Yarrowia lipolytica: one gene and its partner. The protein of the gene in region 1 interacts with the protein of each later gene in a pairwise test. Links are inferred from orthologs where the notes say so. Each region holds a gene or a part of one and is shown on either strand. Other genes may lie near its edges.

Region 1 (4,699 bases):
TGATTAGGATCCTGACCATTTTGCTGTTGATTTTGCTGCTGTTGCTGCTCCGTCTCCTCGGTCTTGTCGGGAACTCCTCGATAATCGACAATCTCCAAAATAATACATCCCTCGTAAAACCGCATACCTGCATCCTTGAACACCTCTGTGGCCGCCAGCGGAATCTGCTCCTCCTTAACGTACTCAAGAAAGATTTTGATGAGCGGCGAGTTTTTCGGAATCACGCTCTCCTGGCTGCCAAACCGGAAATGTGTCTTGTGAATATGTAGCTCCAACGATGGAGCATCCTTCTCGTACTTTTTCAACAACGATTCCGTCGTTTCGCTGAAGAAATACGCGCGTCGACGTCGAGCAGCTTGTTGCTGCTGCTGCTGCTGGGCCGTGGTCGCCCCGCCGGCAGCGGCTCCAGCCGGATTCCCCTGTGCTTTGTTCATGGCGACGATATACTGAGCGTGTCTCGAAACATGCGTCATGTTGAATAACCAGGTTAGGGTTTGTGGAAGATTACTAAGCACAAACAGGAGGATGTCATTGATGAGGGGCCAGTATATCGCAATAATATATGACAGTGGTAAAACGGAGAACGAATAATAGCATATATACATTTTATGCCATCACGTGACATACACAGAGGTCTTATATGTTGGTTGAAGTCCTTATGGGTCGCGTGACTACATACGGGGATAGTACTTGTATATCAGGAGATTGTTGTCAAGTAACTGAACTGAAAGGCGTCCTACTATAACAAACTATATGATACTGTATACCAGTCAATTGATAGTGGTGGTTAGTCATTACTTGTACACTTGTGGTTGTGACAATGGTTGATTCAGTATCTACTCGTACATCCTTCGATTCCGTAGAGGGATATCAATGGGATTGAATGTGGAGTATGTGGTCATATGGTGATACTGAGACGTCAGAGAACATATAGCCATGCCATGCCTCTTAAACAGATCGTTTCCCACTTCACCTCTCTCTACCCACTCTTATGCTATTCAGTTTCTCCATGCACAATACAACTCACATCATACGCTGCTCTTATCGTACATCTGAGACATTGATTTATCTCCGAAGACGCGTTTTATGGATATGTATCAATTGTGTCGTACAGTGCTCGTACTGGTAACACCTTCTCAGGTCTACTGATTGGCATGCTGCTATCTGCACACATTGTTCATCTGCAGAACTACACGGAACGCTACAGACACACTTGGTTGCTACAACACAGTCAAAACTCATTATTCTTTGTGCTCTCCCTATTGAGCATACGTCTCTTGCGAGTTATCTATCTAAGCAGTAGCGGCCCAGGCCTTCTGGACACCCATAATACCGGTAGCGAAACCAGCCAGGCCGACGAGACCGTCATCGAGGTGCAGGTAGCCGAGAGAGGTGAGGGGGATGGAGAAATCGAGGAGATCCCAGACCAGCTGCTTCTGGGCAGCGGCAGCGTCCTTGTCGTTCTTCTTGGCGGAGGTGGTGTCCTTCTCCTTCTCTGCTGCCAGAGCAGCTCGCTTCTTCTTGCAGATGTTGATCTTGTGGATGGAGTTGAGAATGTTGCAGAAGATACCAAAGGCCCAGAAGTAGGAGCCGACCTTCTTGATGGTCTTGATGTTGTCAATCTTCTTGATGCCGGAGCCGTTGATGTAGATGATGGAGTCAAAGACCAGGTAGATGGCGTAGCCGAGGTTTCGGCCAATGGTTGTGTATCGCAGACAAGGGTCCAGGGTCTTGTTCTCGAACGACACGGCGGCGGTCTTGAGATGGCCAATGGGCTTTCCAACTCGGAACAGCTTTCGGGCCATGGAGAACTGGTTCTGGATCTTTCGGAAAATATCAATGGTGTCCTTGGTGTAGCCCTTTCGGAACAGGTAGTAGGTCAGGAACCGCGAGAAGTACTGGATGGACCGCAGGATCTTGTCTCGACCGACGTGGGTCTCAAGCAGCTTGACCACTCGGGTCACGGTGGGGTTCTGGGCGAGGCAAACGGACATCTTTTTTGTGTGTGTTGGCGTGAAGAAGGGGAGACTCTAGGGTTTTAAAAACGGTCTTCGTCACCACCGCAAATAAGCTCAGCTGGGGTAAGGTTGCCGAACTAAATGTACCGAGGCTAGTTTTCACGTGGAGAAGGTCCCACCATGTGTATATAAGGGGGGGACGGAGCGCTGTTTGCACGGTTGTAAAGCTGCGAACCAGTAGATTGCCACTCGGTGGTTGGATTGCTGGCTTCAGCCGTTTAATTCGGTTGCAGCAAACTTGTTTCACGTTCAGCCAATCCGCAGGCACGCAAATCGGGCAAAGCCGGAGAACGGTGTATATAGCAAAACACGACAATGTCCGAGCCGGTCTGCGTGGCATATATATGTTCGAGTACTTGTATATATATTATATTTGTTATTATGGCAACGGTTTCCAGTGCAGGGGTCGCAGGATTGAATACCCCGCCTTTAGTACTGCGATATTCGACGTTATTTTCACGACTCTTTGAGCACTTAAATTTCAGCACCCACTCCACTCCACGCCTACGCACTCAGCTTACTCCTTGACCAGGCCCATTGGACCATTCATACCTTGTGTGTGAGAGAGCATGGCAAGTGCGTGGGGTGCGTGCAGCTCCCCAATCAAAAATACCCCAAGTCCGAGAGTTTATACATTATGGGGAAGAGTATGGGGTGCAGATCAAGTCCGATAAATGGTGGGTTTTTCAGACCGTCTTTTTTTGGGATTATTTCTTCTCCGCGCGTGAGTTCGATTTCCGCAGATGATGTAATCGTGATTACAAGTTGGAACACTGTGTGGGGTGCCAAGCGGTGAGTGACAGGTGTTGCCACCAGGTTCGACACTGTACATTGACGACTGTTGCCGGGCTTGTAACAGTGGTCCGCACGTAAAGACGGTTCGACACGTGTGTCACCGGGTAGATATTATGGCTTGCCCCCGAACTGGACCAGATTGACTCTGGGCAACTATCTCGACAACGGTGGTCTACATCCGAGTGCCAGTACAATACCAGTAGTTGAAAGTATGACTATGTACAGTACATACAAGTACAAGAGCTTGTGCGATTGCGAATACTGACTAGACTGCCGGCTCAGTACTGGAACAGCAATGGATGAGACACAGAGATTGCCAATCTCCATAACTGCTAGACCTGCTAAACGGTATCCCTTAGACCAGATGCAGTCTTTGTATGTAGCGGTACGAGTACAAGTACAGTACATGCTGTACATCGAAAAGCATCAAGTGAGCGGGGTTCGGGATCAATCAGAATGGGTTGGCACTGAAGAGAGCATACCTGACCAACAAGGGTGGAGTACGAGTACAAGTGGTGGTACAGTATGTATGCAATACTTGAGGGCGGTCAGTAGGCATCGTACAATGTTACACGTGACCAAACCTGATCATTCCGGCAACACAAGTACTTGTATATAGGCAAGTCCGGGGGATTATACTGGCCATGAGTTTGAGAGCATGGATGGAGTGGAAGGTGGAGAATGCAGTGGCTTTGATAGTGACGCTTGATATAGTAGCACCCAACATGGTATATACTGTAGTGTACAAGTAGAGAGAGAGTCTTGTTTATTCAACGGAAATGCACTTACTATACGGCACTTACGAGTACAAGTAGCTAGATATTCCACAGCTAGATATTCCACAGCTAGATATTCCACAAGCATCCCGAACTCCTGTCTCGACCCTAATTTTCATTTGACTATAATTAACATAAAATGTTCCATAACTACTTGCACTGTAGCTCTATCCCCATTTCGGTTCCGTTTCGTCTTGTCTAGTGGGTACCCAGGGACGGTCGTACCAGTACGAGTAATAGTGTCGTAGGTACCACACTGAGAGGAGCTTGCAGGATAAACGGGCCGTAGACAGCTGACATGCATCCAACCGAGCAGTTGAAACTGTTGAAACCGATTGTTAGCTCTCACAACTGTTTTTGGCGATTGTGATAATTGGCCTCTTCGCGGGAGTATGCTCCATCACGATGAAGGGGTTAAATCGCACACATGTAGACGCGTACCACTCGTATGTACTGTACGTGTGCTTGTATGAGTTTATAAAGCAATATAGTCACATGTACTTGCAATACAGAGCAAGTAACGCCAGATTAACCGCTCTTGTTTCGAACTCGTTCATTCAAACGAATTACTAATTAGTGAAGCCTGATATTTGATAAATCATGTCTGGTTTTGGGACATGTCGCAGACTCGTTTCACACACCATCTTTAATCCCTCCCACCAGAGAGATTCATACAGCGCTGTATAAACACTACAATAGCCCATTCAGCGCTCCAAACACTCTTTAGTTGCTTGGTAAAGCTTTCAAATTGGGGATTCTCTTTCTCCAAGCGAAGTTCCGAGGAATTATCAATCAGCTTTTCTTTTTCGCATTTTCTGGACTCTCAAATACACTCCTTCGTATATCTATGCACAGTGACGTGACGGCGTGGGGGCCAAATCAAAAGAGTGTGCAGGCAGCAACAGACTAGACCATACAACACAATAACAAACAATGGTACAAGTAGACGCCATGACCATGTTCCTATGACAACAGTCAGTCAACTCCACCTACGAACGCGTTTCGTACAAGTACAGTACGAGTTCAAGTAGTCGCACAGCCCACGATTTACCTCAAGATTGGACCCACAAGAACGAGCCAAACTTAGGAAGCTCGGGAGGGTTCAGATCT
Region 2 (5,693 bases), on another chromosome or scaffold:
GGTGTGCAGTGGTAGCGCTCTATTCACTGGCCTACTACATTTACTCTCCATATTACTACGCCTGGCTGCTGGTCTGCAAGGGTCTGTCTGTCACAGCAGCTACAAACGTCACTTCTGTGTGGGTTGTGGGATACACGGCCGGATTGCTCATTGTTGCCCTGATCATCAAGTATGTACTGTACTCCAACAGATTCAAACCCATCATTGTAGTCGGTGGACGCCTCTACATGCTGGGTCTAGGTCTCACCTACCGGTACAAACAGCCCTACCACTCGCTTGCGCAGTTCATTGTAGCACAGGTAATCAAGGGTTTGGGGACGCTTCAGTTTCCCGTTTTGGTCATGATTCAGTCAGTGTTGTTTCATAGGCAGGTCTGCCACTGTCATTTTCGATTCTTCGATTTCGGTTGGAACAGCTGTTGGAGACGCTATTTCGGGATCACTTTACCAACAGCAGTATCCCAAGAAGCTGGCTGAATTTGCATCCTTTCTCTCCGAAGCTGAGAGAGACAAGATGGTTAAATGTTCAGACGCCGCTAAAGATTGCAAGAGGTTCTCCCGAGCGAGACTCCAGAGTAGTGGTTTTCGACAATGTCTACTGACACATGTTATATGGCCCTGTTATTGTAGGAGGTGTCTTGATTCTTCTGACTCTGACTCTGCCTAATGTTGACCTAGGAGAGCTCAATCAAGGGTATCGTGTTTGGTAGTGGAGATAGGGAGTCTAGAAGTGAAAAGAGTCAAGACAAACCTTGTGGTGTCATCGCTTCTTTCAGAAGAGATTCATAGGGGTATGTGTGAGCATCAGGCGAAGGTGTCATAAAAAAAATATGCTGGTCAGTGTGAGTAATAGGAACATATGAGCAAAAATCGTCAGGGATATGTTTACATGCCTAGCTTAGGTGCTTTATCTGTAAATATTGTACCCTTCTTAACTACAGATAATGTCTACTCGTCTTTGCTGTTGTTGTTTTTTGTTTTTTGTTTTTTTATATAAAAAAAAAAACATTAAACTCTATTGTTATCACTTTTACCCAACTACACCCTAACCATTTCTGGTAAGTATTTACTTACATGCATCCATCTCCAACCCTAACCTTGATTGCTGCACTGCACGACATCTTCAAACGAGGACGTGAACAGAGAAACGAAAATCCAACATGGCGGAAGAAGAGGAATACAGCATTGCCACGCGTCCCGGAGAGGACGTGCAGATGGAGGAGGAGCTCGAAGTAGTGGAGCCTGAAGATGATCTTATCGAAAAGCCCCTCTCTCTGAGGGTAGACGCCAAAGAAGAAGCCTTTTATCTACAATACTACTCGGGCCACACGGGTCGATTTGGCCATGAGTTTTTGGAATTCGACTTTCAGTTGCTGGACCAGGGTCGATCTGCGCTGCTGCGATACGCCAACAACTCGAACTACAAGAATGACACTCTTATCCGTCGAGAAGTGGCTGTTTCACCAGTGGTGGTCAAGGTGCTCAAGAAGATGATCAAAGAGTCGGAAATCCTCAAGGAAAACGATGCCAAGTGGCCGCCAAAGAACAGAGACGGTAAACAGGAGCTGGAAATCAAATTTGCCAACTACCACATTGCATTCGAGACTGGTCGAATAGGATCCTTGTCGGATGTGCAGAGATCGGACGACCCCGAAGGTCTGCGGACGTTCTACTATCTGGTTCAGGATATCAAGGCCCTGGTGTTTTCTCTGGTGGGTCTGCATTTCAAGATTAAGCCAATTTAGGAGAAGGAGAATACAATCGGAAACAAAAGGTAAAGGTCGAGATTCGACAGGAGGTTCATATAAGTTATACAATGTACTGTAATTTTACAATGGGAAGCGCGCAAACACGCCCTGTCGCATAAAGATAAAAGATGCGTTTAAATGTACATGTTATGCTATAGTATGTATCGTTACACCATCAGTCGTCTCAGACCGGTCACCTGCCATACATCGTCCTGCCATCTGCATCCCAGCAGCTTCTGGCCAGTCACGGGACATCGACCGCCTGTCTCCTCGTCTCCATCCTCCAAATGTCGGTAAATGCAAGTGTAGCAAAACACATAACCTGACTCAATGACTGTAGGATTGACCAGCTCCTTGCTACAGAGAGGGCACTTGGAGGTGTCCTCCTTCCACTTTGCCACGGACTCCGCAAGTTTGTCGGCTCCCTTGACCTTATCTGGCACCGGAAGATTGTCTTCCAAGTCTCCTCGTCTCTTTTGATTCAGCTGTCGAGCGAAATCAGACGCGTACCACCACTCAAGGAACTTGAGGGCGAAAATAGAAGTGGGAAGCACATACGAAAGGCCGCTAAGAGCAGCAGATCGCATGGCGTTGGCTCCAGCCTTTGTTGTGAGCAGCAGCATCACACGCTCTGCAACGGGGTACTCGGAGATGGACTTCATGGTATGGGCCACGTTAGCAGCGTTTCTGCTATCTCTCTGGGTCTCCATCTGGTAGTCGTACCGGGTCATTCGAGAGAACTGAATGTTAAGCAGGAAGTCATCAATGCTATACGCCCTCGTGACGGAGAAGAGGAAGAGCATGTGGAAGGCCAGGGTGGCAGTGGTGCATCCCATGGTGACAATGGGGTAGAGCTTGAGAAGCCAGTAGTCAAACTCGAAGACTGCTATTTGTTGGGCCGTACCTGTTCTCTTGATCTCGATTCGCTCCTCATTGATATCCCTAGCTAGGTACCGGCCCTTGAGTCTCTCGTATCGCGCATCCAACTTCTCCTTCACATATGGCACCACAATGAGGAAAAAGAGTGATCCCCAGATTTTCTTCTTGCTCAGCCGTTTTTCAGCCTCGACCAGATCCGGCACGGCCTGGCGTGTTCTCAGTGCGGGATTCGTCAGGATCTGTGTTCGTTTCAGACCGTAGAACTTTTCTGTGAAGCTGGCATTCCATGTCTTGAGATTATAGTACTCCACCAGACCCATGAACAACGCGTACAGCTCGTCGTAGCGGTTGACGATTCGCAGTAGATACCGCGGATGTCTCTGGGCGTAGAATGCAAGAATATATCGAACCGAAGGGGCAATCAGACCCTCCAGCTGTTTAGCAGACAGAAGCTCAAACAGTGTGGGCACATCAGGATCCAGCTGGCTCGCGTTGAGTGACGAAAAGTAGTCCATTTTTTGTCGTGAGGAAAGGTCGTTTTGGGTTGATATGATATGATCAGGTTCCAATCGTTTGGCTTAACAATGATCAACCGCCGTATTGCTGGTTGTCTGGTGCTGTGGGGGCAAATCAGTCTTCCCTTCTTTCATGTTCAACTTTATGTGGGGTATGGATGCACAAACCTAATTACTTACCGAGGATGTAAAAAGTGCTTAGTAAGTGCTGTAGCTACGAAGTGAAGATACAGTGTGTTTCCCTAAAATTATGAAGAAATCTAATACAATATAAACATGCTATGGTTTTTGTTCGTTTGTTGCTATGGCAATTTTTACAAGGTAACCCACTGGCTACCCTTCTTCTCCTGTTTCACCTTAATAGGAGGCAGATCCCATCCAGTGCCTCCAGAGCCAATAGCAGCTCCCAGCCGAGGAACCACCCAACACTCTCGAGAGGTACTGGTGATCATCTTGGGGCCGTAGGGGGGAGGCAGGGGCTTGGAGTATGTGAGTAGAGCAGTGCCCTTGGCAATGTTGCCAATCTGGGCAGATGTGATATCACAGAGAGGCTTGATTCTCAGCTTGGAAGATCCCGATCGGTTGACGGAAGCAAATACCAACATTTCGGGAGGATGAGTTCCCATAGTGTTAATGACAGATCCGGGGTGAATGAACACCTGAGTGTCGTCAGGCAGAGGGTTTCCTTGGTCGTCAGTCTTCTTGTTGGTGGTGGAGGTGGGGAACAGAGTCTGGTAGGGAACGTTGATGATTCGCTCTCGAGAAGTGAGCTTGTAGTCCTCGCTGACCTTGTCCAGACGCTGAGCCACCTGGTCAACAAAACCAGTGGCAATCATCTGCTTGAGAGCCTTGATCTGGAGCTTAGAAGGAGGCTTGAGCTTGGCATTCAACTGTTCCTTGAGCATAGGAGCTGCTCGAGGGTCGGAGTTGGCCACAACGATTCGGCTCAGTTGCTGTCTCAGCTTTCGCATCTCCTCCATCAGCTTGTGTCGCAGGAAGAAGCCCTTGCAGAAGTTCTCCAGGTCGGAATCGTAGTCCATGGCGCAGACGGCAGAGAGCAGCTTCAGAGCGTCAGATGCAGGGTCCAGGGAGGCCAGCTTTGCCTGGGCCTTATGGTAGCTGGATCGCAGCTTTCGCTTTCGCTCAATCTCGTAAATGTCCTCGGGCTCGGAGTCAGACTCGTTGCTCTTAATCCGGTCTCCGTCTTCATCAACCTCCTCAACCTTGGGCTTCTGTGGTTTCTCATTGATGCCAAGCTCGTGCTCTCCAATGAAGGGATCTCCAACTGTGAGAGCAGCAACAATGGCAACCATGTAAGGCAGGCACTCGAGCTGAGAACCAATAATGAGCATCTTGGCGAATCGCGGGGACAGAGGGAACAGAGACATCTGCTTACCCATATCAGAAATAACACCAGTGTTGCTGAGGGCACCTAGGTACTCCAGCAGCTTCTCGGCCTTGGCCAGGGACTGTCTGTCGGGGGGAGTGGGGAAGGGGAAGTTGACCACCTTGTCAATACCCATGTGTTTCATCTCCAGAACAATGCCCTCAACAGGGCATCGGAGAATCTCGGGGATGGAGAATTGAGGGAAGAACTCCTCATAGACGGCAGATGAGAAGACACGGTAGCAGTGACCGGGACCAGTTCGACCGGCACGACCAGCTCGCTGATCGGCAGAAGCCTTGGAGATGAAATCAACCTCAAAGGACTGAACACCAGTCTCTTCATCGTACTTTCGCTCCTTTGCTCGACCACAATCAACCACATATCTGATACCAGGAATGGTCAGCGAAGTTTCAGCAACGTTAGTAGCAACGACACACAGTCGATGGCCGGCAGGAACCTCCTCAAACACCTTCATCTGCTCCTTGGTAGGCAGCAGAGAGTAAAGAGGAAGCACGTGCAGAGGAGCAGACTCATTTCGCTCCTCGACAGCAAGCTCCTCTTCGAAACCTTCTTCTCCGTCCTCCTCATCTGTCTCAGACTCTCCCTCGACAGCAGCATAGTCCTGTTGTCGCATATCGGCGCCAAAATCAACCTCCTCGGCCTCCACTACAGTCTCATTGGCAGACACCTTGACCTGGAGATCCTCAGACTTGTCCTTGGGCCGCCACACCTTAGTTCGATCAGGGAAGGCCTTCCGAAGCCGCTTGACCACGTTAACAATCTCGTTTTGGCCAGTCAGGAAGATCAGAATACCACCATCGGGCAGTCGTTTGTGGATCTTGCAGGTCTTTCGGTAGATCTCGTCCATGTAGTCGTAAGTTGTTCGTTTGTTGAAGTGGACAGAAACGGGATATTGTCGGGCCTCAACCTTGAGAACAGGAGGAGGAACTGGGAAAAGAGTCTTGTTCTCTGTGAAATCGGAAACCCGCAGAGTAGCAGACATGATAATGAGCTTGAGGGGAGACTCGCACTTGCCTTCGTTGAACATCTCCTTTCGCAACTTGAGAACTCGAGAAAGCACACCAATGAGAATATCAGTGTTGATGTTACGTTCATGGGCCTCATCAATTACCAGAGCAGAGTACTTGGTAAGAGCAAAGTCTTG

What was found. The genes of interacting proteins can lie anywhere in the genome.
Region 2: the proteins of YALI1_C05386g (region 1) and YALI1_D35190g interact in a protein complementation assay, tested with the Saccharomyces cerevisiae proteins (2 studies listed by BioGRID). The link is inferred for Yarrowia lipolytica from reciprocal best matches to the Saccharomyces cerevisiae genes PEX11 and PEX12.

Annotation. Positions count from the first base shown.
Region 1 is NC_090772.1:536,609-541,307, forward strand, and holds YALI1_C05386g (uncharacterized protein), read right to left. Parts: upstream 1,995-4,699; coding exon 1,293-1,994; downstream 1-1,292. Other genes in the region: YALI1_C05372g (uncharacterized protein), read right to left, coding at 1-605. UniProt on the Saccharomyces cerevisiae protein: Involved in peroxisomal proliferation. Promotes peroxisome division and biogenesis.
Region 2 is NC_090773.1:3,516,383-3,522,075, reverse strand, and holds YALI1_D35190g (uncharacterized protein), read right to left. Parts: upstream 3,142-5,693; coding exon 1,915-3,141; downstream 1-1,914. Other genes in the region: YALI1_D35210g (uncharacterized protein), read left to right, coding at 1,160-1,744; YALI1_D35148g (uncharacterized protein), read right to left, coding at 3,456-5,693. UniProt on the Saccharomyces cerevisiae protein: Component of a retrotranslocation channel required for peroxisome organization by mediating export of the PEX5 receptor from peroxisomes to the cytosol, thereby promoting PEX5 recycling.